4 linked regions of the Tamandua tetradactyla genome follow. The protein of the gene in region 1 interacts with the protein of each later gene in a pairwise test. Links are inferred from orthologs where the notes say so. Each region holds a gene or a part of one and is shown in the gene's direction. Other genes may lie near its edges. The genes, in order: MIPOL1, TTC12, UTP25 and CCT3.

Region 1 (7,077 bases):
TGTTTACAGAAATGGTCCAAGTTGATTGGCTGTTTGTATAGTAGGACTGATGTGACTTCTTGAATTTATACTTTTTTTCGTAAGTGGCAAAAAATATTTTAGCATATGTCCACTCACTACTTTTTGTTTATAAATTGGTCTGTAGTAGTTGAATAAAAAACTTGAGAGGGTCACCAAATACTCCAACTTTTAGATTTTTAGAATCAAAACAACCTGTTGTGGAGGGCACTTTATCTTTTGGGGAGAAGTTTCAGATGTAATTTGTGTTTTCCTTTTTCATATGATTTTTCCTTGGGAGTATAAACAGCAAACTTAAAACTGCCTTCAAATTTTTGAAATTGGTTTTATAGATTAGTTGATAGTCTAAGTGACTGAATTAAAAAAAGTCTGATCTGTAGCTTTTGGGTAAAATTTCCTTTGCCAGATGGTAAAATTATGCTTGTAAGATGTAGGGTTAAAAAAACAATTTTAAACAATTTACCTTTCATTATTATTTTTCTAATTTCACCTTTTTTATTATCTAGTTTTCATACATTGTGAACTTTTGCTACTTTGAAATTAGGATGCTAGTGGATTAGAAGTTAGAACTGATTGGTTCATATTGATAAAATATACTTGTTGCATAGGAACTGAGTAAGTTTTGCAAATTGTTACATATATAAAAATTAACAATTAAATGCTGCTTTTTAATATGGTACTGCTGGCTATACCTACAGTAATTCACTGTATTCTAAAGTTAACTAGCATGGTGTGTTCATTGATTTAAGCATTTTTTTCATACAGAAATATGGTCAAAGTTAAGCCCAAGATATCTTTATTTCTTTCCTAATTAACATCCTTTTTCCGCCCTGTTTTCAAAATTTTTAGATTAATAGGTTAGTATAGGTAAGGGCTTATCATTAGTTTCCTTGAACCAACATGTTTTAGAGTAACTGTGATAGGAAAGACAGAATAAAGGGTCAGGTTTGTATACAAATTCTAAGATTTGGAATATTGAGTATAAGCTCTTCTGTGTCTTTTCCACAGTTTAATGTAAGTGTAAAGATTTTATAACTTGAAAAAATTCCCATTTAAAGGAGAACAGTTTCAAAATTATAAAGAAACCAAATGTTCCAAAATTTGGAGTCACTGGAAGCCTAGTTAATAGCTTTTAAGAGTTTAAAGTTAAAAAAAAAAAGGTGTTATTTACAGTTCAGTAAATGTTTGTTTCCTTTCAGAAACCTTCATTGCCTGCAATTTTAAATTAACCTAAGAGCTAAGACCAGGGCTTATTAGTCCAGGAAAGATGAACAAAGATAAAACAAAAATTTTCATTAAAAAAAAAAAATAGAAAACAACAACAACGCGTCTCGATCTCCTGAGAATGCAGTAGACACTAGCACCAGAGACTTCCTCTGCATTTTTAATAGGCCATTTGCTCTCTATGATGTTCTATATTGAACCTTTATTACTTTTTTCTTGTTGAAGAATCTCTTCCCCTCCTCCAAGTCATTTGAAATGAATCCGTTAAAAATTTTACTCTTTTCACGCTTTTATGTCTCAAATATTTAATGTTTTTGCTTACAGTTTAAAATGCCGACTATAACATGGGTTGGTGAGGCTATAGTATCACTGATTAACAAGGCACAGTTGATTAATGAAATGGGATCCCCCAGCTTTTCCTTTTATGCCTTTGGTTTGTTTTTGTTTTTATTTTCTTTTTGCCGGGAAAAATGGTGCATTTGAATAAAACATGCCATTTGCATAGAAAGTTATGTAATGATGCCATATAGAGTATAATGATTTCCTAAAATCTTGTATTTAAAGTAACCTGAATTACAATAAGAGATAAACAGAATATTTACCCATCCCTTATGAGTTGCTGCTGATATGTAAATTTATTCTTCTACTTTGCACAAATATACTTTTGAGCTACTGCTTAAACACTTTTAGGTCCTTAGTCAAACAGTTTTAATGATGCTTCCAATATTATGAAAGTGTGACATTTGATGAATGTCTCATATAGTTTTGGTATCTGGGCACATGTCAGTAAAAAAAAATGAACACTGGTTTGTCATGCATCACCTAGACAGTTTATAATTTTACTGTTTATATCCATCTTGACATTTTTTATCTGCCAAAGGCAGGTTTCATTTGGAATCTTAATCTGAGATTTATTTGGTGGATCTGGAAATCATAGCTAGGGTTCCCACAGGAAATGGTCCATCTACCAACAGATTAAATGGCAGTCCTGCAGTTGTTAGGGGAGCTCTGCATTTAACACACATGCATACTCATTCAGTCAGCACTGTGGAGAAAAATTAAAGTAGTAACCCAGGTTTAGGAACAATGTAGCTAAAAAGTCCCATATTTGCTGAATGACAAAGGGTTATATAGCAGCATTTCATTTTATTATTCGTGCTTGAATTTCTTGTTTGCTTTGTTGAGTCTGCTGACGAATACTAATAAATGCCTGCAACAATCCAGACGAGAAATGCCTGGCAACAAAGCTATGCAGTGGACCTCCCTGATCTTCTCCAGTTCACAACCTGACCTTTTGAAAAATTGGCTGGGCTAAGCTGTAGAATTTGGGTGTAATGGTTATTGTTAACTTCAGCTTTAGGATTTATTAATTTGTGTGATCAAGACTTACCTATACTTCAAAGTTTCAAAAGACCAAACACAATCATCCATCCATTAGAACTAACACTGTGTTTCAGTGATTCCCACTTAGTATCTGACTGGTGATTCTTCTATTTTGATGTTTTCAAAGTGTAAGGATTGTAAAGATGTTCTTAAATAAAATGAGAGGCATGTATGAATAAAATCTGTTATTTTCCTTTATAGTTATTATTGGGGAAGTTCCATCCATAAATGATTTGTGAAATTATTGTGAATTTGTGAAATCATAATTGGTATGTGTTTATAGTTAAATAATATAGTTATTAAACTTATTTTGCTTGCAGTTGTAGAAAGTTACGACTTGCTCTGTTCATTCATGTTTTCAGTTGTCTCATAAATTATTCCTATGATGAGAATATTTTAGAAAGGTTGAAAGAGTTCAAATTAGCCAAATAGCTTGTATCACTGGGAGAAAAAAAAGAATAAAAATTGGTTATGATAGTTGATCAATTTTAAGATAGTTTTCACAATCATTTTAGCCTAAATAATATTTGGAATCCTTTATGCAGGGCAATATGTTTTTAAAAACCTTAGTTTATGTGAAATATTTATCAGTTAATAGGTAGCCTAAGCTGTAGATTACTGTTATATTGTATCTATGGCCTTCATATGAGGAAGGATGTTGGAAAAGCTTAAACATTAATATATAATTGCACAAATGCTTATATACTTTGAGTAGTTTTACACAGAATCTAAATTTTTCCTTAATAGAATGAATGAGTTCATGACTATTTGAGACTTGATGAAACAACAGAAACTTAAAAAACATTGTTGTAATACCACCACTTTAAATAGCTTTTTATAATAAAAACCAAAATGTCAATAAAGTAATTTTCCATGATAATTAGAAACATTGTATACTACAGCATTGAATTATTATGATCAAAGATAAAATGACCACCAATTCTTTTTGACATATATGTTATCTAGAGATACAACCATGTAAGAGTATAAGGGGTTCAGTTTATTTTGAATGTGTAACTCTAGTACCCAAATAAATGAATTATTGATATTGACAGTTTCCATAGTTTTGTATTCAGTGGGAGATTTATTGACTTTATGAAATCTTATATCAAAATTTAATAGCTACAGCTAGCCTCTACCTCTCAAATGCTTTCTGCTTCCCCTTTATATATCTATAGTATACATTATATGTAAATATAATGCACCTTATTATAACTAAATAATAATCTGTGAACCTGTGTGCTTTCTGATTCAGTAGCCACGTGAGGCTCTTAGGCCCTTGAAATGTGTCTAGTCCATATTAAGATATACTGTAAGTGTAGTATAAACAAGAATGTAAAGTTTATCAATAATAATTGATTACATGTTGAAATGATAGTATTTTTTATATATTGGGTTAAATAAATATAATTTAACTTGTTCTAGTTACTTTTTTTTTCTTCTGCATGGGCAGGCACTGGGAATGGAACCTAGGTCTCCGGCATGGCAGGTGAGAATTCTGCCCCTGAGCCACCATCGCATGGCCCTCTAGTTACTTTTTAATGTGGTTGCTAGAAGCTTTAAAATTGTATTAGTGACTTGCATCAATATTTCCTCTTATTGATCCATTTCTTTTCAGTGAATAGAAGTTCTAAGATAGCTACAGTTTTTTAAAATGTGCTTTTAATGAGTATAGGAAGCTTACAGTCTAAAAAAAAGGACCAAATATAGTTGAGAAGGCCATAAATTGTATAGACCATATCTATGTAATTCTTTTTCTCCGGTGCATCCAGTTAAGACGCATTCAGAATTAAATTGGCAATCAGATTAAAAAATAGACAAAGATAAATTATTCTCTTAACAGTTTTATTTTTACTTTATGTGGAGACAACCAAAAGTACATGTAAAAGTTTTTTTAAGTTGAGATAGAGAGTAATGTGTGTGCAGACCAATAAAAGTGACTGTTACATTTTTTTTAATGGCTATTCAAGCTGAAACACAAATAATAAAATCCCTGAATTAGTATACAGTATCCAGGTAACAAGTCTGCATTTTTAAAGTCAAAGGTCCAAAGTTGCCTATTTTCCTATGACCCCTAAATTAGATTCTCTGAAGGATAAGTGCCTGTGTTAAGTACCTAATTCTATCCAATGTCATTTGCCAGTATAGTGAGTACTCAAATTATGTTACAGAAATTTGCTGTTGAAATTTCCCATTTTCTTTCTATGGGATGGAATTTTCTTTGAAGAATTGAATTAGATAGCATTTTATTTTCCAACCTGTGTCTCCTGATATTTTAACAAGAAAGTTTTATATACATTAATGCTTCTGAAGAATTTTCCCACATAGTTGATAACTTTTGGGGGTAAAAACAATAAATGTAAACATAATAACTTGCCAGATAAGGATAGCTGTGATGGCCATAGATCATCAACTAAATTTATGTAGGAAATTGAGAAATTTTTAGTTATGAAAACTAAGGTAATGCCCTATTAGTATAATAGATGTCTTTTTTTGATTTTATTCTAAATACTAGAGAGATTAATTAAAGATATACCTTTAAATCAAGAGATTAATTAATATGCATTTGAATTGAAAGTTTGTGATCTCAAGATGGTGATATTTGTGATCTCTCAGGAAGGTGAAATCAAAATAGTGAAACAAGCTTTAATCTTAAAGCAGATTATAACAGCTAGCAGCTAACATTAATTGAGTGTGCCTTCTATGTTGACATTTTTCCTAGAGATTTATATAATTTAAAATATCTTAATCCTCATTACTACCTTTTGAGGTGTAGGTAATAGCACATCTTGTAGATAGGGAAATTCATGAAAGGTTAAATAATTTGCTAAAGGGCATACAGCTAAGTGGTAGAACCAAAATTCAAGCCCTGCAGTATGGCTTCAGAAGTCATCCATACACTCTGGAAAGTCTAAACAAACCAGTGTTTTCTTTGGAAATTTTAAACTTTTCTCTTGTAAACCTTAGTAAGTCATATGACTGAAGATTCTGATGTTTTTCTTTTATCTTTGGGCTGAAAAACATATTAAATTTATCTATGTGGAAAACTAACCTTTTCCCCGACAAAAGAAGGAAATAAGTAGTAGGAAATAAATTGTATTTATACACATATACATGTACGGAGGGGGAGATAGAGAATGAACCTACATTTACTTAAAGAATTGGTAGAAGTTATTTAGAGGCTAGTTGATAATGTTTTTATTACTTTGAAACTAATGTTCATAAATAAATCCTTAACCATTGAAAAAGTATATTTCGTTTAAAATGTGAAACTATTCTACTAATTTATATTCCTGCTTTAGTAGCAGAAAGCATGTCATTTATATCCAAATATAGCGTGACAGACATTATAGAAAAGAAAGATGTGCTAAACATGAGGCTTTTGCTCTTTTTAATTAATTATATGATCAGATGCAAAGCCATAAAGGATGAAAACTTTAAAGAAGTGATGACCAATTGTGTTAGCAAGTGTGGGAAACATTAATACATTGCCTTTAGTATAATTCATTTTAGATATACTCTGAAGTAGCACGTGCATCTTAAGAAGATAGGAGATCCACTGGTGTGAATGTACTTGCCTACAGTACTTCTTTGCTCCTTTCTCTTTTCTGTCCCTGAGCTCTCAGGTAGCTGGGGTGTTGCTATTCAGAGTAACCCCAGTAGGATCCCTAGAGATAATTCTTGCTCAACCACTCTGAAGAAACAGCTCTGTCAACAGTATTGAACCCCCAGGGGACCATCAAATCCATTTACACAGATACCAGTTGTCAGAAACTATTTACGAAGCCCGGCAGAACAGAATTTCCCTGCTTCTAAGAATCCTATTTGATTGTAGCCCTCTCCTCATCTGTATAATAGTTGAAAAAGGAAATAACAGTCATTTTTGGCCCAGAGTCAGATTTCTTGGGGATTATCCATTTAACTCAGTATATTTTACATTAATATATAATTGTCTGGAAAATTGAACTCAAAGACCAACCCAAAGCTTTCTTTCCTGTGATAGGACGTGGTATCTTAATACTGCTAATTTTGTAGACTATGGAATTGAGAGTGTAACAGCAACGCTGGCATTGAGATAGCTGGCCACACTGATACCTACAGAAATAAGGAGAATTCATTAGATCATGAAAATGATCCAGTGGAACAGCCTGAAGGTCACAGAAAGATAGAGGGTCTTCAAAACATATAATGCAGCTGGCCTAGGAACATGTATTTAATATTAAGATTAAAAAATTTTTTTACTTAGACTACCTGGTTTGCCTAGGTGGCAAACTGTTTCTAGTAATAGCGGTAGGTAGTGTTTTAGAGGAACTCTTGGTAGTTAGACTTTTATAGTGTCATTTTCAAATGGTCACAGGATGAGTTTGCATGGCAGTGATAGCATGATAGCACTAGAATAACAGCAAAATTTGGGAAATCATATTTTTTGAAGTGATTAAGTTTTTATGTCCA
Region 2 (7,820 bases), on another chromosome or scaffold:
CCTCCCTTCTTAATGGATATGCCCCTCTGGCTACAGGAAGGACATATCCATTGCCTTTGGAGGCTCAGACCAGCCTATGAGGGGCTATCCAGCCACAGGACCAAGGAGGTCCTTGCTGAGGACTGTAGGAGTTCAAAGCAGAGCTCCCGTGGGAGGAGTGATGACACACGGGAGACAGGACAGCGACCTGAGGCAGGGTGGGCTGGGGGTGGGGGACCGCACAGCCCCGGGTTCACACCTCAGCTCAGCCTCTGGCAACACACTTAACTTTCCTGATGGTATTTTCTTCTCTGTGAAACGGTAATGAGAACGTCGTGAAGGCTGCTGAAAATGCAGGTTAAATAATACATGTGTCTTAGTTTACCAGCTGCTATAACAAATGCCACAAAATTGGTGCCTTAAAAGCAGGAATTTATGGGTTCACAGTTTTAGAGCCTGGGAGGTTCGCTTCCTCCTGGGGCTGACCGAGTTTTGGCTGGCTGAAAATCCTCAGGTTCCTTGGCTTTCCCATCATAGATGAGGTCCTTTCCTTTCTCTTTCATGTTCTGTGACTTCCAACTTCCTGCTTCTTCCATAGCTTTCTCTCTAAATTTCCAGTAATAAGATTAAGACCATACCTTAACTAAAAATGACAACTTCAAGTGGTCCTATTTACAATGGGTTCACAGCCAGGGGAATGGATTAAAACTAAGAACACAGCTCAATCTACCCCAGACAATAAAAGATTGAGCAGAGGGCCTGCCTCGGTGGCAGTGGCTCGGTGAGGGTCAGTTATTCTCAGTTTTTTTGACATTAACCACAGTGTCATTAATTCAGCACAGGAATCTCAAGAAAGATGTTTGCCTCTAATGGACCCACAGACTAGATCTGTGACTGGATCCTGAAATTACTCCTTCATCTATAGTAAAGTGGGAATTGAAAGAACAAGAAGAGTTGGGGAGTACAAGAGGTGAAATTTCAGCTTTTTCTTTCTTGTTTTGTTCTTAAGTGAAAGGACATATATTGGGGGTGGGAGGATCAAACATGATTTGGGGGGTTTCTTTAGGGATGGAGAGACTGCTAAAGTCCTTCAGCTTCCTGCTCTAAGTCTTAAAGCCAAAGCTATAAAATGAGTTGCAGCCCCAGCATCCAGGGGGGGGTTTTATCCAAAGGGCTCCAGACCCACCTTCTCTACATCCTTTACTTCCAGCAGGCAAAGATAGGACCCCTTTATTCCTCATGCATCTGCCCTCAGAAAAAAGGTTTTATCCTTCTTGATCTCTCTTAAATTTAAAAAGTATGATTAGAGAGGAAAGGCAAAGAGCTAGGATTGTATATACAAATAAATGATAGAGAGTAAAAGAGAAGAAAACTGGCTTACAACAATCTCCAAGTCTCAGATTTACTATACAGTGGAAGGTGATCAAATAGTCTCCAGTTTTTACTGAAGACATAAAGAAAAAGAAAAGCTTAAGCAGCACACAAGGGACTTAGGTCGGCAGCAGTAGCAGTTGTGAAAGTGTGATTCCTAAAGGTTCCCGAAGTGGTATATATTTGAAATGCAAGTCCCTGCTTTTAAAAAGCCGTTTCTCTCTACATGCTTGAAAATGCATGAGAAAGCCGTGACACTGACACAATGTAAATCGCAACCGTCATGAGCTACATAAGCCTGTGCCAGGATCCCCAGCCCTTGTCACTGTTGCAAGTGAAGATCACGTGATGGATCATGTCCCGCTGTGGTTACAAACAAGCCCAGGTCTTTGTGGATCATAACAAGAAAGGGCTCTTGTTCCCCACCTGATGTGTCATCAGGGACTCGGGCTAAAAGAGCATCTGCCTTCCGCTGCTAGGGTAGAGGGAAGGGGTACATAGGGTGAGTCACATGCTGCCTTTAAAAGGCATCTGTCCACTTCACTTCTTCCTAGCAAGTCACCTGATCATACCTAGCTTCAAAAGGTAAGAAAGTGAGACCTTACTGTGTGCTGGAAAGGAGGAAAACTGTAACCTTTAGGTTTTGTGGACAACCCAAGGATTGACTATCCAGAGCTTACTAGGTCTTCTGAGAGTTTAAAGCCATCAGTCTGTCTAGTGTGAGCGCTACCCTAAAAATTATTTTGTGACCGCAACAATGCTTGCTCTCTGGAAAGCCGGAGGCAGAGACTATAAATACCCCTATTACTTTCCCATCTAGAATAATTTAGAATTGAGTCTTCCTGCAAGCAGAACAAGAGATTAACTCACTTCTTATTCAACAAATCTTTACTTAGTTCCAATAAGCGCCAGGTGCTGGGCATGCCAAGACAAAGTAAAACAATATCCCTACTCCCGAGAAACTCAAAGACTACTTATCCCATTGGATTTAGAGGGCTGGAGTTTGGGAGCAAAGGCTAGGCTCAGCGAAGTTATATGCGGGATCACTGAGGTGGAAGCTTCTTCTGAAGCCTAAGTAACTATAGTCCCCAAAGCACCTGCTTCCACCTTTATGTCCTTCCCACATCCCTCCTGCCCCAGGTAACTCAGCATCTCCCGCCTGCATTGCTGACTTTGTCACTTTCTTACTTAATGGGTTTCTACCTTGATGTCCTGTCCCTACCTATCTCCCTAGGCTCCTCCCTCATCACTCTCACCTTACATTTTTCTGTTTTCTTAGAAACAGAAAATGTTTTTTGCCTCCCAACCTTTGCTCATCCTTTCCCTCTGTCTGTATAGCTCCACACACCCCAATTCCTATATCAGCACTTCAATTCCTATTCCTATGGGACCTTGGCTATACCACTTCCTCTCCCCACCCCCTTAGGCACTAGACCATCACTGCACTTATCAACAGTTCTCATAATCTGTTTAGGCATCTGTCTTCTTTGTTGGACCTGGACGGCTGTGTGCTCCTTGAGGACAGAGGCTGTGCCCATAGCTCTTAGTGTGGTATCTGGTCAAAGGAAGCTACCAAAGACTGTTTATCAATACTTCTGTGGCAGAGAAATATGATGGGACAAACAATGAAAGGAGTTCAAGCATAAAAATACCCTCCATTGAGATATTATTTGGGGAGGTATATAAAATGGAAATATGATTTTGAGAACAGGAATTATATAATTCCTAGCTATAAAGAAAATATATCATTCATGTGCCTTTCAGTTGAATGACCTCAATATCAAATTGTTCTGATGTTTAGAGTCCTTAAATCAATGTGCTTACTAAGTGATGATATTGTGAATTACTGATTATATATGTTGATGTTTTATTTGGTTTAATTTTTTAATTAATAAATAAATTTTTAAAAATCAATGTGCTTTATTTAAAAATATCAAGACTGTAGTATGCTAGTATTCTAACATTTGGGACTATTTAGAGTTATGATGAAAGCATTTAGATGTCCACCTTTAAAAGTAATATTAGTGGAATGAATGCTTGCTTCCCCTATGAATTACCATTAATTTTGCCTGGGAGTGATGGATAACCCAACCTAACAGTAACTTTAAAAAGACAGTCTCTTCAATGCGGGAGACCTGGGTTTGATTCTCATACCATGCACCCCCCCAACCCCCCCAAGAAAAGATAGTCTTGGCTTAAACATCACTTCCTCAGAGAACATTATTTCCAAGATTTGCAGACTAGTCATTCACAGCACCCTTTGCTACTTTTGCTTTTCACCCTTTCCTTCTTTTGGCGCTTATCCCAGTGAAAATTTAAATGATGGTTTGTTCATTGACCTTTACCTCCTTGAATCTGGCGCCTTGGGACCAGCTTGCTCTACTACATCCCCAGCCTCTAATAACGTGTCTGTGCATTGCTACCCAGTGTCGTCCACAGCCCAAAGACAGCTGTCACTGAGGAATCTTGCCCCCAGGACTACTGAACCAGAACCCACATTTTAACAAGATCCTCAGATATTGCAAAAAGTGCAGAAGCACTGCTCCAAGGCACACTAATCACAATAGTTGCTACAATAGTTAATAACATTTTGTACCGATGCCTTCTGGACATTTCAATCAGATGGGTCCTCTGCTCTCTGTGGGGCTTGGCCATGCATCCTCTGGGGTCTGCCTTAAGACAGTCACCTGGCCATACCCAGACTCAGCGTTGGATCTAGCAGCCTGCCTGGACCCCTCTTCTCTCGTAAGTCCTGTCCCCAGGGGCTGCCTCTTCCACCCTACTAGCCAGATTTCTATAAAACACCCACAAGTTCGCCAAGAAGGCCCAGATGTTTCTAAACAACAGTTTAAGCTCAAGATGGGACTACCGCCCAAACATGCGTGGTAACCCACCACTTAACCACTGATTTTTTTTTCTTTTTTAAACAGACAGGCGTCTGTTTAAGGGTGTGTGCATGTATTCAGAGTGTGAATGAACGTGTCCATTGTCTCATTCTGCTCTGAATCCTGCAGTGATTCCCTGGATACTAACTGCCACTTATTCCTACTGTCTTGGGTGCCAGGGACTTGAACCTTACAGGAAAGTGTCATTTCTTCATTTAATAGATGAGAAAACCGAGCATCAAATTGGTTACAACTCACTCCCAAGGCCCACCTTTATCAATCTATAAAACCGGGATTCATACAAGCCACTCCAGAGAACCCCGGAGAATTTCAGCCTTTTGAGCCAGAGCTACTAAACTGTTCGAGCAAGACCCTTCCCCCACCTTTAGAAGAACAGAAGGCGAAAACTTGGCACTGCTCTAGAGACCAGCACGGGTCCCTCCGAACTTCTTTGCTGCTTCCCCTTCCCAGCGACTTCGTCGGGTACCCCAGTCCCTTACCCGGCCTTGGAATTCGCGGCGAAACCAAGCGCGAACTCACGCCCCGCCCCGCTGCCCATGGCCCCGCCCCCTCCATCCCTGGACCCCGCCCCTTTCCTCCAGGGCCGGGGCCAGTCACCGTCCGGCCCCCGCCGCCATTTCCTGTCCGACTCTGGGCGTTTCAGGTCAGTGCACCGCGGTGGCTGCGGGGTCTTCCCCAGGAACTGGCCCTAGACTGGCGTCATGGGGTCCGAGAAAAAGACGCTGGTTTGGTTCCCAGCAGATGGGACGGTATCTTCCGCGGGCTGGGACCCCATCGCGGGCACAGGGGCCGGTGGACGCGGTGGAGCGGTTGCCGGGGCAACAGTGGCATCGGCTCCGCCCCTCGGCGCCGGGCCGTGAGCGGGCGACTGAGCGTGCGCGTCGTCGGCGCCGGACGTGCGTGTCGCCGGTCCCGCGCGCGGCCATGCAGGTCCCAGTCCCCTACGGAGTGAAGCCCCGGGCACTTCCTGTGCCGTACTACGCTAACCCTCTTCCCTTGGCGTTCGTTGCACGTGCTGGCATTTTGCGGCCGTAGATCCCTGCCCTTGGTGCAGAGGGGTCGGTTCCTGCTCATGGATGTTCCTCCCTTGGCCTTGGTTCCGTGGGAATTGCAAATGTTTGGGCTGAAAAGAGCTTTATTGATCATGCAACGAACACGTACATCCCCACCTCCTGTTTTATAGGTGAGGGTGCCTCACATTTGCCACTCATTGTGTGACTGGTGCTTTACGTTAATCCCCAGGTCAGCCCTTCAGTCCTCGAGATTTGTTGTCCCTGAAGCCTAAGGCTCAGAGGTTGTGACTTTAGCCAAGGCCACAGAGCTGGAAATCGGTGAAAATAAGGACACAGACTCAGAGGTGAAAGTGCTCACATCTTGTTCCTGGCAGAAATGAAAGCCTGGCAGATTTCTGATTTCCAGTTATAGGTGTGTTACCGTTAGTACTGGGTCCCAAACCTACCAGAGAATTAGACCCACTAGAAGTATGTCTAAAACTCCACCTTGCTGTCAACTATTCCAGCCTTACTGATTGAGAATCTGGGCTAAGACTAAAAAATCTATATATGTAACAAGTTTCCAGGTGATAGTTATGGTCTGTGGATGAACCTTTGGGAACCACTGCATACATGGTGTGATTTCACTCAGAAGCAACACTGAGTTAATAAATCTAAAGGCACCTAACTGGAGAGAAGAAATTAGCTCTCATCCCTTCAGTGAAATTGTAGCTTCTCTTCACTCCCCAGAAACAAGCCAAAGGCTTACATTTTAAACAAGTACGAACATCAAGATGCAAATTGCAACCAGTCTCCATTTGTCAGAAGGCCAGGGCAAAGCTTCTTACAACTGCAGGGAGGGGTCTGTCAGGGTGGAAGTTAGGTGATGGCATCCTTCTCTCTCCCTGGCACTGGGTCAGGGGCTCTCACCCCAGCCTCCACACCAGGACCCCGGGTCACAGCAACCGATGCTGGTTTTGGGGAGTCGTTTCTTCAGGGACATTTCCCCAGTGGAGAGAGGGCTGGCAGCTTTCCAGAAATAGCTCCACAGATAATAACTATCCTTGGCGGTAAACAGCAGTCAGCATGCTGTTATTCATTGCGTTTGTAAAAAGAAATCCATCTTAAAAATTATCACTTGGCTCTTAGTTTTAGAAGGCTAATGAGCTTGACGAATTCTGTTTAGTGTTTTCTTATTAATTTTCATCGTTTATGCTGCCTCCCTCAGGGATTCTGATCTACAATGGCTGAGGATCAAGAGAAAGACTTGCAAAAATTTCTTAAAAATGTGGATGAAATCAGTAAGTACCAGTAAATCATAAACCAATTAAATTCTGCTTTAGAGGGGTAGGAGTGAATAAAAAGAGATCATCACTCTAAGTTAGTTGCTGGGTTACCTGACAAGTTTAATGACTTTTAAGGAAAAATGTAAATTAGAACTAATAGAAAGCATATTGAGAACAACGTTATAGCCTGGGGCAGTACTTTCTGGCAGCATTAATTGGTATCAGAAAACTTGTTAACATTCTTATTGGAATTCAGGCTCACAGCTCTCCTCTCTATTTTGTCCCCTCTGTGTGGAACCGGGTCAAACAGTTGCTGTTGACCTTCTGTTTCCCTGTTGTCAATGAGCTCTGGCTGTTCCCTTCGAGGAGAGCACTCAAGGTTCCTGTTGATCAGTCTGGGATCTTTCCCGTTTCAGGGTAGAGCCAGCTCCATTTTACCTGCAGAGGCAAATATCAAATGGCTTTTCCTCAGCATCCATCAAGGTACATGGGTGGCACAGGGCTGTCATCCCCTCTCTCTTCCTCTGGATAAGAAGACCCTTTGCCCGGCTCAGATAGGTGGCGTCTCACAGAACATCATCTGATCCCACAGTTAGGCACAAGAGATTCCAAACCAGGCAGCCCCTGGCCAAACATCAGGGAGCTTGTAGCAAACAAACAAACCTAACATAGCAAATAGAAATGTGTTGACGTTGCTACCTCCAGAAGATTGTATAGGTCCAAAGAATAAAATGGCTAAAAAAAATAGTTTGGATATCTTCATAAATGACACATCCTGGTCCTCTCCCCTGCTCATCTTTAAATATTGCTCTTCTGTGGGGGCTCCAGCCTTGGCCCCCTGCTCACCTTTCTTTTCAGGTGATCTAGTCCAAGGAGATGATATTAAGTAGCCCCTGTTTTCTGATAATCCCTGTGTCTACATCACTAGCTTTACTTCTTTTCTGAGCCTCAGTTTTATGGTCAACGGTTATATCCACTTCACCCCATTAACACCTCAAACGTAATGTATCCGAAATGGAATTCATCATCACCCCCCTCTTCCCCACCTCAGCCTTCCCTCCCAAATGAGGCCTGCTTCTCCTCATCTCTGGGTGGCACCACCCTCCAGCCCTGTATCCAGTCAGCCCTCGAGTTTTGCTGCTTCCTCCAACTCTTCCTCTCCACCTCTCCCTTGGCTCTGGTTCTTCTCACCCAGACTATTTCAACAACCCCTTAATTGTTTCTTCTGCCTCCAGGCTTACATTCCCCATCGTGTAAAGTAGGTAAAATGCACATCTGGCCCAGAC
Region 3 (6,971 bases), on another chromosome or scaffold:
TAATCCGATGACTATGCAGCTCTTTCTATATTCTTCATCTCCTGTCTTGAATACACACACAAGCTGGTCATGAAGTCAGCAGTAACAGCTCATGCAACCTAAATTCTGGAACCTAGATCAATTCTGAGTTGAACATTAGTGTTCAATGAATGTGACTGATGGACAGATGCCGAATGGCAGCGCAGAGCAGATCGCTCCAGGCTGGGAAGACCCCTGTGCTGGCTGCTTCCTTAGCATTCAGCATTTCTCAGTTCACCGTTTCTCGCAAAGCACTGTGATTGTCATCTGTGTACTTATCTGTCTCCTGACATGACTGTGAACGCCTGGAGAAGGCTGGGGATGGGTCGTATCCTTTTTCTTAGTCTCAGCTACTACCATGGTGCCTGGCACATTGTAAGTCTTCGGTAAATTATTTTTTGAATGAATGAATGAGTTCATTATATTATAAGGGTAATGAGAGACTGATTTCTGCCAATGCTCTCAGGGAGAGGCCTGATTACTTCAGATGTGGGTAGAGACATGTGTGTGCATATGTGGTGCAGGAGCTGGTCCTGTATGTAGGAAACTGTCTATATGATTTAAGGGTCTCCAAGGAGAGCCTGACTCCCACACTCCTGAGCACACACACACACAACACACACACAACACATACACACACACACACACACACATCTTTTCCCAGAAGCAACCTGAGCCAGAAGTAGAGCTGTATGAAACTTCATCATTAGAGATTCAAACTTTTGGATTTCATGTTGCTCCTTCTCAACATCTTCTGAACCCATGTGCCCTTGTGATACACTTTCTTGTCTGAAACATCCCAAGTATCTTATATGTACCCTCTTGTGTACTTCCCCCTGGTTCTATTGAGAATATCAGCTAGAGCTCTGCTAACTTTCTGTGGTTTGCATTAGAAAGTGGTTTGTTTGTCTTTCAAAGATACAGCTATATATCAAAAAAAGCTCTTTCAAACCATATATATCATCGTAGTTGCAAGGGATTATAAACACGTCAAATTTGTATACCTTCGTGAGTTCATAAAAATAATAAAAACAAAAATAAATGCGAAAACTTGGTCCATCACTGTTAGACGATATAGTCAATCAACTTATGTTGAAAATTGCTAAGTGAAGGGAAATAATCAAGTATTTACTCTGCTTTTTTTCATAAAATTGTCCCCTTGGGTAGCCATCTTAGGTGAGGGAGAAGTTTATCTTCCTAGAAGTAGTCCAGCAACTAGGTACGAAGAAATGATAGAACAGCCCCATAATGGCAATCCCTACTGAATGAACAGTTTCAGACATTTAGCATCAGTGGGTGCTAGTATCATAAAAAGAAAGGCAACCAGACATTGTGTGCCTTCTGATGGAAGCATAAAATATCACATAAATTATAGTCTTGATTAACACTGTAGATCCAACTACCAATTCACAGGAAATATAAAAGAGGAATATATTAAAACAATGAAGTGTAAAATAATTATGACAAGAGACGATTTAGAAATTTGAAAATTGATCAGATAGATACATGATGACATTAACCAATATTTTTAGGTGAAATAATGGTATTGTGGTTATATTTGAAAATAACCTTTACTTTTAGAAATGCATACTAAAATATCTACAGATAAAATAATATGATGTTAGGGACGTGCTTCAGAAAGAATGCAGAGTGGGGGCAAGAGCATAATAAAAAAATAATAATAAAGCAGTGAGTGGACATTTACATGAAATGAAGTCTCCTTGAGTTGATAATCATTGAAGCTGAGTAATGGGTACATGGGAGTTCATTTTTTCATCCTGTCTACTTTTGTATATGTTTGAACTTTTCTATAAAAAAAATTTTGGTTTTGTTTTTTGGTTATAACACCTTCCTGGATATTCTGATATTCTTGTCCTAAGGGAGGGGTATCTGTCTCCACCCTTTGAGAATCGAGTCTCTTCTAAATTGCAAGTGCCCTGGGAAAAAGTAACTTATTAATTCATTAACATTTCTTTATGAACGAATATAAAAGATTATTTCCTAGACTGCCTTTACCTCTCGAAAACTACTGAGTATTTGAGGGCAGAGATAAGAAACAACTTTGGAGGAGGGGAAAGGAAGGGCCAAGAGTGGGAAGAAGAAAGGATAGAAAAATTTTTGCCTTTATTACAACTTTCCTAGGGCCTTCACTTGTTGGTATGTACATCTTTGTATGGGTTTCCCTAAGAGAACTTTCACTGGGAAAATGCTTAAATTTGGGGCTTTCAGGTTAAAAGTTCTAAAAAAGCCTACTTTTATTTTTTCAAAGGCTATTATAAATATTTTCAAAAGACAGTCTCCTCTTTCCCTGCCCTGTGAGCCAATGATGAGACAGTTTGGGTGGGGCTAGAGCACATTTTTGCCCGAATCTGAGAATGGTCTAGATCTTCACACAGAACTGCCAGAATGTGGAAACAAAGAATGACTCAGAAATCACCGCAAGTGCTCAAGAGCATAGCTTTTTATAGAAAACACTGGAAGAATACCAGGAAACTGGTTGCCTCTGGGGAGAGAAGCTGGGCACTGGGATATGGTTGGAGGAGGAAAAAAAGCATGGCTCTTTATTGTTATGGCCAGGTTTACTGTGGTTAGCACCTTAAAATATATGACGACATTTTGCAAACAGCGTTTTGTTGACATAAGTGACTGTACCATTTATCTTCAAATTGGACAGAAGACAGATGTCCGTTTATGGGTTCTTGATTGGGCCAGCTGCTGGTCACCATCAGCTCTGTTTGCATATTTTCTCCTCCCTGTCGTTGCCTTCTCCACCTCAGCCTCTCAGAGTCTAATTAGGAGTAGATGGCTACCAGCACTGACAAAATAGGGTGCTAATAGTTTTATTACAACTTCCCATAGGTGTAAAATGGTATTGGGCAAAGCTCAAATTTTTCCATAGACATACCCCTATATAACGGAGTCCAGTGAACACTCTCTTTAATGCCTCCTGTTTTACCTTAAATATTCTGCTGAATTTTGCAGTCTGTGAATTTGTACTTTGCTTTTATAGAACATGATATTATACGTTTAGGAAAAGTTTCTCACTATGTTTATCCTGAGATCTGCATATCCCTGGGCTACTGAGTCCAGTTTTTCTTTTTTTTTACTTGCTTAGGTTTTTTACATATATAAAATTCACCAATTTTAAGTGTTCAGTTGGATCAGTTTTGGTTACACGGTGTAACCACCGCCATGATCAAGATGTATATCCATTAGTCCCTTCATACTGAAAAGTTTCTCCACTCTTTACCCAAGCCATTGGATTGAATTCTACTGCCTTCTCCAACATTGACTCTCGGGATGATTTTTGGAAAGTTCCTTTGCTTGTCTTTGCTGCACCTGTAAAACGAGGGATGTAGGTTCGGATTTGTTTTCTAGGGTTCTTCTAATACTTTTAGGAATGGCGGGAGTGGTGTGGGGGTCAGGAATCTCAACCGTGTGACCCCATTCCTGATATAACACACGCAAGGTGGTGGCGCTTAGTAGCTAAAAGCATATGGCCCATCAAACTTGGATTTCCATCTCCTCTTTTGCTAGAGTATACCTTTTCCAGACACCAGTTTTCCCATCTGCAATATCAGGCTTATCACAGGACCTACTTCTGTACAGTTGTGAGGATAAAGTGAGATGCGTCAGGCATCCGTGCCTGATGGTTGATATTTTTATCATAGTGTAATATAAAGTCACGGCATGCAACCATATCCACGCCTACGCATTTCTGTAGGTGATTACCATAACCAAAACCTAACCACAAGTACTCTCCCACCCACAGGGAAAGTTCCAAGACCGATCTGCCAAGTTCAGGGATCTGTAAGTAAATGTGCCAGCGTGCACTTCCAAGGAGCCTCGCTAGAGGGCAGAATCGGGACCAGGAAGTTCTAGCGTCTGGCGTGAAAACGCGTCGTAAAGCGGATCTGCTTTCTTGCATCCTGCTTCCGCCGTAAAGCGCTGTCGGCGGGCACACGTGGTTGGGTTGTCTGAGCAACTTGCCGGGAAATACAACGATTCTTGAAGGTGGGCATATCTGGCGTTTTCAGTATGGGCAAACGCGGGAGCCGGAGCCAGAGCCAACTGCTCAGCACCCTGACTAAAAAGCAGAAGAAACATCTTCGGGATTTCGGCGAGGAACATCCCTTCTATGACAGGTCCGGAGGGGGCGGGGCAGGAACCAGTGGTGCCAGTGTCTTTCCCGGTGGGAACCGGAGTTTCTCTTCGTAGTCGGGTCCCACAGGTCCTCGACTAGCGATGATTCTCGCGGCTTTCAGCTGGGAAATGGGGTTCTTCAGTTGTCTTTCTACCTTTGTTGAACTGGTAACTTCACGCTAGACGGCATGTCTACCTGTGTGGGCTGGATTTTGTATGGTAAGAGATCTGACCATGAGATCTTCTAAGGTTGTTTGTGTGTGTGTGCGTGCGTGTTTATAAAATTGCTTGTGACCTTCGACATCATTGTAATCTATCCAGTTACAGTGAAGAGACTGATGTTATCTGACAGGTAATTGTGTGTTCCTCGGTTGGTGTCCATACTTCACGGCTGTGACCTTGGTGCCCATCCCACCAGTCTGAGCTGCCTTATTAGCCATTGGTGAGCTCTTCTAATTGAGGATTTTTCTAGAGAAAAGATGAACCCCGAGGCCTTTTATTTGCCAAATTGTGTCCTTCTTTTGGATGTGGATACATCCAGTTTCTATGTGACTTTTCATTTGTCATAAGTAAGTGCGTGACTTGTCAGTTACTCTCTATTGGTCGTATCCTATGGTTACAATGAATTTACACTAATTTAGTCTCTTTTGCATTTTAATGTACCAGACTTTTATTTAGTTATTACATACTAGTAGTATTTAACATTACCTGTTTCTTCTCAGGGTTTCCAGAAAGGAAGCAAAACCACAGATCTGTCAACTGGTAATGCTTTCTTTATGCCTTCTTTATAATTGTGCTTTCTAATTGTTACTTTGGGGATTACATATGATAATAAAGTTTTACCACGTTTCTACTCTTTTCGATTTTAGGTCTAAGTTATTATTTTAGTAGTAGTGCTTAGTTTTGTGCAGATGCCTGTAATTACCATTGTGGTAACAAATATGAAAGCCAGAGTTTGAAACTGTTCTTAGAGACTTAAGCCTATTAAATAGGACCAGTTAAGGGGACCTACTAGAAGACTCTTAGTGAATCATAAGGGGCAAATGGTTTGCCCTGCATAAAATGAGCCACAAGTAGCAAAATGAGTAGAGTTACTATCTCATTACAACAAACTGAAAGATTGTTTCTTGTATTGTAGTTTTTTGTTGGTTTTTTTTTTTTTGGGTTATAATTTCTCCTGTGGTTCCTTTAAATGTATATTCTGTCATGTCTAGGATATAAATTAAATCTCATTATAACTTAAAGCTCTATGTCTTAAAAGTTAGTTTTCTTCCCACGTGGGGCATTAACAGTTTGAAGAAGATAAAAAGCCTCCAGAATCATAGCTAGATTAGCCATTTTAAATACATTTGGTGCTGGGCTTGGTTGAATAAATAGGGTTGCATAATATTTGCAGAAAAACTAATTTTTAGTTAGGAAAGTCTGAACCTGTTACACTTTTGGCCTGGCCATAGACATAAGATATGATGAGAACAATATAGCTTTTTATTTGAAAACTTCCATTTTCCCTTTTAGTCAGAAAGTTCAGATACTTCAGGTTCTGAAAGTGAAGCCGAGAGCGAACCAGAGCAAGTTTCAGGGTACCACAAACTACTTGCCACATTGAAGAATGTTTCTGAGGAAGACGAGGATGAAGAGGAAGAAGAAGACAGTGTTGCAGATGAAGCAGAAATAAACAGTGAGGGTGATGATGACGATGATGATGATGTCAGTGTGGAAGAAGAGACTGCAGCAGTGTCTACTGAAAGGCATGAGAGTAGGTGTCTTTGGTGTGGGCTCACCTTTGCCGGAACCACAGACAGATTGCTCCCTGGACACAGGGCCCTGTCCTGTGTGAGCTGGGTGAGAGCACAGGGATCTATAGCAGAGATTCATAAACCTTGTTGGGTTCAGTGATGTCTTTGAGAATTTTGTGCAAATACAAGACCCTCTCAGCAGAAAAATGGAGAAAAAACATTTTTGCTTATGATTTCAGGTACTTTGTCGATCCTACTGAAAGCACTGCCACCCCCCCAACCCCACTGATATAGAGGAAGGAGAACATAGCTTGTCATTGTGATGATCTCACTGTGTTGAAGAGGTTGTTGTTCCTCCCTTAGGGAAAGTTTAGTGGAATATAAACATAAAAATATACAAATGTTTTCAAGCAGCAGATTTGTATGAAACAGCTACATACAAAGTGTTGAAGAGATAGAGGCAGAGTAGTCACACGCTGCTATGGTAAATTAGGGAATGCTTCAGGGAAGAGCTGGGATTTAAAGCGCAAAGGAACTCTTTCTTATCTAGACTTACAGGTAACTTTTTTCTTTAATATATAATCAGCTTAATTGAGGTCTAATTTACATAAAATAAAACACACCCATTTCAAGTTTGATGAGTTTTGACAATGTATACATCTGTGGTAGTACCACCAAAACCAAGATGTAGAACATTTCCATTACTTCCAAAAAATTTTTCCTTGTTCTTTTGCTGTCACCCCCCCCCCCCCACATTAGGTGACCACTGATTCGCTTTCTGTTACTATAGATTAGTTTTGCCTGTTCTAGAATATCATATACATGAACTCATACGGTATATACCCTTTTGTATCTGGCTTCTTTTGTTCAGCATGCTTTTGCAATTCATCATGCTGTTCATGTATTAGTTTATTCATTTATATTGCTGGAGTAATATACCATTGTCTAAATATAGCTGTGTGACTTTTTATCACTAAAATAGGCATCACTATCTTAATGCCTATTTTCCTTATAGCCTTGTAGGGTTTTTTTAAGATGTCAGGTACTATTCTCAGTATTTTAACTGATCAGTGT
Region 4 (7,438 bases), on another chromosome or scaffold:
TGGGGGCCAGGCTGAGATGCTTTCAGGCCGGAAAGTCATCGAGCTTTAGAAAACTAAAGTCTGTCATGTTCCCTGTCAGCTATTCTTGGTGAGGGAACATATATATATTTTTTCCTTTTTACTGGGTTTGGGGATTTTCCAAGGCCTACGGTAGGTCACCCACCTTCTCCTTCCACGTGCTCCAGAGGCATCAGTCATTTGATGGTTCATGTAGAGTGGTATAGAGATAGAAGCTGAAATTCATCTCTCAATTCACCACTTGAAAATTTGTTAATTTCCATGCAAGTGCACCGTTAAATTATTTGAGCCCACCCTGTGTGTATAAGGACGTGCTATCTACTGGATTATAAGGTTTGAAGAATCTTTTACTCACAGCCTATACTAAAGGAATGGTATTTCTCATTAGACAATGTACAACAGAAGATTAGGTTGGGGAGCCGCAAAGAAGTCAGGATGGAGAAAACAATGAAAAGTCCTTTACATACCTTATCTTATGTATTTCCCACAACAGCCCTGTGAGATCACTAATCCCCATTTTATTTCAGGAAACAGGAAATCTGCTCATGATTCCACAATGATTACATGGCAGCGCTGGAATTAACGTTGGGCCTGCAGATGCCAATTATGCTCTTTACCACTGCACTATATACTCTGTGAAAAGAACTAATTAAATCTATGTTCAAGGAGGGCAGAGTGGGTGTCTCTGTTACAGGAAGCTAACCTCCTACAGTTAAGTGGGTAGGCTCTGGAGTCAGACGGCCTAAGACATTCTCCTGGCCACCACTGGGATTGTCCCACTCAAACTTATTATCTATTCACTCTAGTCAACACCTTGTCTTAATGGAGCCCTGTTCATAACATCTTATTATAAGGGGAGATAGAAATTTACCTAATAATTATTGAACATCTACCATATAAGAGATCCAGTTCTAGGCATTGGGAATACAGCAATGTTCCCATTTAGTGGGGAATGCAGAACAAACACACCTGCTTTCCAATTAACCAAGTAAAAGGGAAAAGCATATATACAACTAGAATCATTTTCCCATAGGCTGAGGAATTGGGGAGGTCTGGCGTTTAAGGGAGGGGAAACAAGGTCTCTGACACACACCTCTTCTGCTAGTAGGACGACTAGTGTGCTGCTCCATCTGGACACCAACAGGTGTGGCACCTGGGAAAGAATCACAGCATCACATAATCAACAACTCTTGACTGTATAGACTGTATGTGCATGGAGATTTCTCAATAAAAATATACATATTTTAAATACATGCTATTATTTTTACTATTGACAACTTCATAAGCTGTCTTGAGCAAGTTTCAAGCTGTTTTAATTTGGAGAGGAAAGGGTGTGCTCTATTTCATGGCCAAATATAAGTTATTTATCAGCAATCTACCGTTCTATTACTACTGTTTCTATTATTATTGCTTCCTTTCTTCTGGACAAAATAGTAATTTAACCAACTTATTTAAACTTACAAATTTAAGTTTCCTAAGAATGGGTCACAACTAGCTTAAATGAATACCATAAGTGCATGGAACCTTGAGTAGGGCATGAGATTTTGTAGGCTTGTCCAGAGTGATGCCCCGATAAATCCCAGAGTGATTTGAACAGTGAATAAAAAAGTATTTGCAAAGTTCCCTTGGGGGGATGGTGAGAAGGGGGGGAAATTCAACTTTCCCAAGTGGAGAATTCCTGATGTTCTCACAAGCAGTGGGAACAACCAAAGCAATAGGCTGAGTCCCCAGTCTTGGGGTTTGTTCATGTGAAACTTAAACCCCCAAAGGATAGGCTAAGCCTACTTAAAATTAGGCCTGGACAGGCCATGGTGGCTTAGCAGGTAGAGTTCTTGCCTGCCATGCCAGAGACCTGGGTTCGATTCCCGGTGCCTGCCCATGTTAAAAAAAAAACAAAAAAAATAGGCCTAAGACTCACCCCCAAGGAGACATCTATTGTTGCTCAGATGTGGCTCTCTCTCTCAGCCAACATGACATGGAAACTCACTGACCTCCCCCTCTCTACATAGGTCATGACTCCCAGCGGTGTGGACTTTCCTGGCAACGTAGGACAGAAATCCCAGAATGAGCTGAGACTCAGCACCAAGGGATTGAGAAAACCTTCTCCATGGAAAGGGGGAAGACAGAAATGAGACAAAATGGAGTGTTAGTGGCTGAGAGATTCCAAACAGAGTGGAGAGGTTATCCTGGAGGTTATTCTTACACATTAAATAGATATCACCTTCTTAGTTAAGGTGTAATGGAGAGGCTGGAGGGAAGTGCCTGAAACTGTAGAGCTGTGTTCAGTAGCCATGTTTCTTGAAGATGATTGTATAATGATAGAGCTTTTGCTATGTGACTGTCTGATGGTGTAAGTCTTGTGTCTGATGCTTCTTTTATCTACCTTATACACATATAAGGTAGATAAAACATACCTTATAAATAAACAGATAATATGGATTAAAAATAAACAGATAATAGGGGGAAGAAATGTTAAAATAAAAATTTAGTAGATTGAAATGCTAGTGATCAATGAAAGGGAGGGGTAAGGGGTATGGTATGTATGAATTTTTTTGTTTTCATTTCTTTTTCTGAATTGACACAAATGTTTGAAGAAATGATCACGATGATGCATATATAACTATGTGATGATATTGTGAATTACTGATCATATATGTAAAATGGAATGATCATATGGTAAGAATGTTTATGTTTGTATGTTTAATAAACAAAATAAATTTAAAAATCAACAAGAACGGGTTACAAAATCCCGACAGAAAGCAGCCCCAATTTCTCTCTGGTTTAACAGGGTATTCTCTTCATGTTTAATTTCTGCAGTATCATCCCTTTTCCTGTCCTGCACAGCAATTTTAAATATCTGGCTCCCCATCAAAATCTCTAAGGGATCAGCAACTGAGTGCATGGTGGGGGTGCAGGGCTGCCATGCGGAAAGAGAACCTCAAAGCACTAGACAGAATTTTTTTTTTCTTTTAAAACTTTTTTTATTGTATAGTATAACATATATACAAAGCAAAGAAATAAAAAAGCAATAGTAGCACTCTTCAAAAAGTGGTTACAGGATAGATCCCAGAGTTCGTCATGAGCCACAACACCATCCTCTCATATTTTCCCTTCTAGCTGCTCCAGAATATAGGGGGCTAGAGAGCTTAAATACGTTTTTATCATCACAACTGACTTTTTTTCCTTCTTTTTTGTGAACAATAACATATATTAAAAAAGCTATAAATTTCCAAGCACAGCACCAAAACGAGTTATAGAACCTATTTCAGACTTTGACATGAATTACAATTTCACAATTTTAGGTTTTTACTTCTAGCCTCTCTAAAATATTAGAGACTAAAAGAGATATCAATTTAATGATTCAGCATTCATATTCATTTGTTAAGTCCTATCGTCTATGTATAATTTCACCACCACCTTTGATCTTTCCATACCTCTCATTGGGGTTGTTTGGGCTATGGCAATTTTAAATTTTTGATATTGGAAGGGTCTTTCATAATATGGATTTGTTATTATTTTTAACACCAGCAACACATTTATACACTACCTCGGGAGCTAAGAATAGTTCATAATTGGAACTGAAGACATTTTCATTATATTGAAAAGCTTTGTGTGATTTCCTCAGGTGAACAGGCCATAGGCTTCACTCCCAAAGAAATTTTAAAAATGCAGAGAGGGAAATAAAGGGTACCAGAAGAAGCGAGAATGGGAGTAGACAATGACAATGACACTCCTGACGGGCACAGGATAGAGAAAACAAAAAGGACATTTCAGGGGGAATAAATTGCAAGTGACAACAAGGATAACAGGAAACAGAAACTAGACAGAATATTTGAGCAAAGGTTTCTGATAAACGAACTAAAAAAAAAAAAACGCAAACCATCTACCGCTACAGGTTTAGTAAACACGGGCCTAAGAAGGGAAAGTTTCGCACATAGTCATGCGAGTCCAAAATCGATGAGCCACAACTCCCAGGGTGCCTGGGGAAAGGCTCGGTGCGCTCAGCCCGCTAAAACTACAACTCCCATCATCTCCCGCACCAAACCGACCAGGTCTTTCCTAAACGGCCAGTTGAAATTCAGACCTTCTATTCCTTCTCGTTGCTAAAGCCGGAACAAAACACTGGAAACTGTCACACTTTCCTTGAACTCCGAAAAGCACTGAGGCTCAAGACACTTTAAAAACCTCACCTGCGGCGTTAATCCAAAGCCTCAACCCCAGCGCCCGCCCCTCAATGTAGCTGATGCGCATGCGCAGTAGGGTGTGGCCAACTGCCTGAGCCTTGGCGCTTGCGCTGAAGTTCGCGCTGCACGCGGTCAGGATCGGCCACCCTATTGCGCAAGCGCCGGTGCCCTACCATTTCCATCTTCGCGCTCTCTCTATCTAGCTTGCCCTGCCGTTCTTGCGTGGGAGGCGGGACTAACGATGTCCATTGGCCTGTTTTCTTGTCGGTTAATGAGCTACGTGCGGTGATTGGCGGCGGCTGGGAGAGTAGCGGGTTTAGGTGTAAGCCCGGAGGAGACACCGTTTTCTGGGCTTTTGCTTGGTTTTCTTTCTCTAGAAGGTTCTGCCGCCTCCCCAGCTGTGGGTACCCGGCTTTGTATCACGTCGCCATGATGGGCCATCGTCCCGTGCTCGTGCTCAGTGAGTTCTGGGGAATCCGGGGAAGGGCCTCTTTTTCGCTTCCATCCCGGTACTCTTCTCAGTGTTGCCTCAGTAGGTCCCGCCCTGGCCCGGCCACCGACTCTCCTAGTCATCGGGCTCGTTTAGGAAGTCCGCTTTCCTCCTTTTTCTTAACCCATTCTCCCCTCTACACAGACGCAAACTGATGCTTTTCTTCGCCGATCCTCCTGCCTTTCCTTGTATTCATATCGGGAGGCTCCTTGCCACTCGGTCCGGTTCCTCGCCCCAGGCCCCTGCGCCCTGTCGTAGTCCTCTTGCGGGGTTTTCAGTGTGGTGTAATAATGAAAGAATAATGTGTTTTGTTTTTTTTTCATTAGGCCTAACTTAATTTCCTTGGCTCACCCCTTGTTAGCGTGTCTTCGGGCAAGTTGTTTGTGTTTCGATCTGTATAATGGGGTTAATAGTATTTCCTCGTAAAATTGTGGAGATTAAATAAGTAGGCAAACTGCTCAGAAAAGGATCTTGCAAATAGTGAATGGTATTCTTGGACACTTACCATTGATTCCTTTTAAATTTTCATTCAGTAATTCCTGTTCCTGAAGTAACCTTTCTTCTCCCACTGGTTTTTCTTCAGGTGTAATCATTTCCTCTGTGACTGCTGCTTTGTAATCTTTCCCTCTAACCAGCTGTTTTCCAAGTTTCTCTTTTAGAGTGGTTCTCTTTACTCTTTGGAAATATCCTTAAGTTCTTTCTGATTTACAGGCTGCACCTCCATTGTCTTCCCCAGGTATATTTCCATTGTGTGTTTAACTTCTATACACCTAAGGTGCCTGTCTGACCATTTCCCTTACGCTGCCATGTTTATACAGAATGCTGTTCAGAGTTTTTATCCATTTTCTTTATACCTAGGGAATACCTTTTAAGAAGATTTTTTTTACAAAAAATTTTACTTTGTCCTGAAAAAGTTATTTTCTTTCTGAAGGTTTGTAGGTCCATGCAGGTTTTTAGTTACCACTGCCTGAGATAGGAATGTAAACCTTGAGGGTTTGCAGGTGTTTAAATTTGATGAGACTGGATTGAAAGATTTATAGAGTTAAATTAACTTGTAGGGGAATATGTAACTTGGTGAGGCATTGCCTTGGTTTATGTCCATTGAGGGGGTCCTGGGGTGAATAGTGATATGTGAAGTCTTTTTCAGGTCTGCAAATAATCCCTACTTGAATTATGTGAATGTTTGGATAGCGGGAAGGTGATAACCAAGATTCCACAGTTGAAGTGTTATGGGGTTATTTCTTAGTATATCAGAAATCAAAGTAAATAAAGAGGTAAATAGCCATAAGTATGAATTTTTAACTGCTTCTTGAGATACAATTGATTAGTAAGTTTTGACCTTTATGTATACCTGTATCTTTATTTTTACTTTCAGAGGTTGGGGGATAAATGGCTTATGTACAGTGGAGCCATTATGGGCTGTTGCCTTTTTGTTTTTTATCTCTCAGGCCAGAACACAAAGCGTGAATCTGGAAGAAAAGTTCAGTCTGGGAACATCAGTGCTGCCAAGGTAGCATATCTTTTAAGTGTTTAGAGTGTAGTAGTTTGCCTTTTAGTATTTCTTTATTTCTTCATAGTGATAAATCCCATGTGCAGTTAGAGGAAAAATTGTTTTCAGGACATTGCCCTGATGAGATGGAGAGGGAAGGGGGCCCTCCCCTCTGAATTAGGCCTAATAGTTTTTTTACATAAAAACTATTTCTGTTACTGTAGTTGTTTTTAAATATTCTATTCGTATTTGTCTCCCATACTGTACTGAGTTATTTGAGGGGAAGGAATTACTATTAATTACTTTCTATATCCTAGGGCCCACTGTAGGTCCTGTGTGGGCAGTCAGTAATTATATTTTGAATGAAGGAATGAAGTATCTCTAGACCAGATTTAAGGTGGTATGGAAATCACTGTCATGGAAAGAAAGACTGATACTTCTAGGAGGCCTTTCCCCTTTTTTCTGGTGAGGTTGTTTCTTTCTACATCCACTCTGAAAACATTCCCTGAGGGGATGAGAGCTAGGCACAGGGCATGCTCTGTAGTGGTTACCAACCTTACTCTAAAGTAAAGGTGTCATTGTTAAAATTAAAACAGTGGCTATGCATATTACCCATGCCCCCTTCTACCACTCTCACAGGCCTCAGACTTGTGCTTTTTTTTTTTTTCAATGTTTTCTGTCCATTAGACTATTGCAGATATCATCAGAACATGTTTGGGACCCAAGTCCATGATGAAGGTAGGCTTGTCTCTTATTGAAGTTCTCAGACTACGAATTTTATTTTCCCTTTCTGTTTTCTGGGACTCTCAAATATAACTTTTGCTTCTTAGATGCTTTTGGACCCAATGGGAGGCATTGTGATGACCAATGATGGCAATGCCATTCTTCGTGAGGTGTGACTTTTCATTTTCTTTTCAAACAGTTTTATAAATAATAATATCTATAAAGAAGTATGTATGTAGGTGGTCTGTCAAGTAAATAAGCTAAAAGCTACTCTTCTGGGAACGAATAACTGAGTTGGCATAATGCATTTTTTCCCAAAAAGTAAGAGTATTGGGAAAGTGGAATTACTCTTTTTAGTCTTTCAAGGTGTGGTAAGGAAATAAAGGGAAAGAGAGTAAGTGTAGAGCAAGAAGCTCAAAAGTTAGGGCAAAGCAGAATGGGTTTAGAAGTCTTTGAGTGGTATTAAGTCTTTTTTTTTTTTTTTTCCTTCTCCCCCAGATTCAAGTGCAGCATCCAGCAGCCAAATCTATGATT

The links.
Region 2: the proteins of MIPOL1 (region 1) and TTC12 interact in binary tests that used the Homo sapiens proteins (3 or more experiments, as listed by UniProt). The two-hybrid records come from large-scale screens. The link is inferred for Tamandua tetradactyla from reciprocal best matches to the Homo sapiens genes MIPOL1 and TTC12.
Region 3: the proteins of MIPOL1 (region 1) and UTP25 interact in binary tests that used the Homo sapiens proteins (3 or more experiments, as listed by UniProt). The link is inferred for Tamandua tetradactyla from reciprocal best matches to the Homo sapiens genes MIPOL1 and UTP25.
Region 4: the proteins of MIPOL1 (region 1) and CCT3 interact in binary tests that used the Homo sapiens proteins (3 or more experiments, as listed by UniProt). The two-hybrid records come from large-scale screens. The link is inferred for Tamandua tetradactyla from reciprocal best matches to the Homo sapiens genes MIPOL1 and CCT3.

Annotation. Positions count from the first base shown.
Region 1 is NC_135340.1:16,267,826-16,274,902, reverse strand, and holds the start of MIPOL1 (mirror-image polydactyly gene 1 protein), read left to right. Parts: upstream 1-4,069; 5' UTR 4,070-4,107; coding exon 4,108-4,114; intron 4,115-7,077.
Region 2 is NC_135334.1:27,791,743-27,799,562, reverse strand, and holds the start of TTC12 (tetratricopeptide repeat protein 12), read left to right. Parts: upstream 1-4,813; 5' UTR 4,814-4,899; exon of another isoform or gene 4,900-5,091; intron 5,092-5,229; exon of another isoform or gene 5,230-5,439; intron 5,440-5,498; exon of another isoform or gene 5,499-5,681; intron 5,682-6,476; 5' UTR 6,477-6,491; coding exon 6,492-6,549; intron 6,550-7,820. UniProt on the Homo sapiens protein: Cytoplasmic protein that plays a role in the proper assembly of dynein arm complexes in motile cilia in both respiratory cells and sperm flagella.
Region 3 is NC_135330.1:67,905,644-67,912,614, forward strand, and holds the start of UTP25 (U3 small nucleolar RNA-associated protein 25 homolog), read left to right. Parts: upstream 1-3,963; 5' UTR 3,964-4,056; coding exon 4,057-4,163; intron 4,164-4,883; coding exon 4,884-4,923; intron 4,924-5,676; coding exon 5,677-5,917; intron 5,918-6,971. UniProt on the Homo sapiens protein: Component of the ribosomal small subunit processome for the biogenesis of ribosomes, functions in pre-ribosomal RNA (pre-rRNA) processing. Essential for embryonic development in part through the regulation of p53 pathway.
Region 4 is NC_135330.1:9,339,632-9,347,069, reverse strand, and holds the start of CCT3 (T-complex protein 1 subunit gamma), read left to right. Parts: upstream 1-4,427; 5' UTR 4,428-4,631; coding exon 4,632-4,662; intron 4,663-6,140; coding exon 6,141-6,202; intron 6,203-6,868; coding exon 6,869-6,919; intron 6,920-7,011; coding exon 7,012-7,074; intron 7,075-7,402; coding exon 7,403-7,438. Other genes in the region: TSACC (TSSK6-activating co-chaperone protein), read right to left, coding at 1,112-1,171, 4,209-4,269. UniProt on the Homo sapiens protein: Component of the chaperonin-containing T-complex (TRiC), a molecular chaperone complex that assists the folding of actin, tubulin and other proteins upon ATP hydrolysis.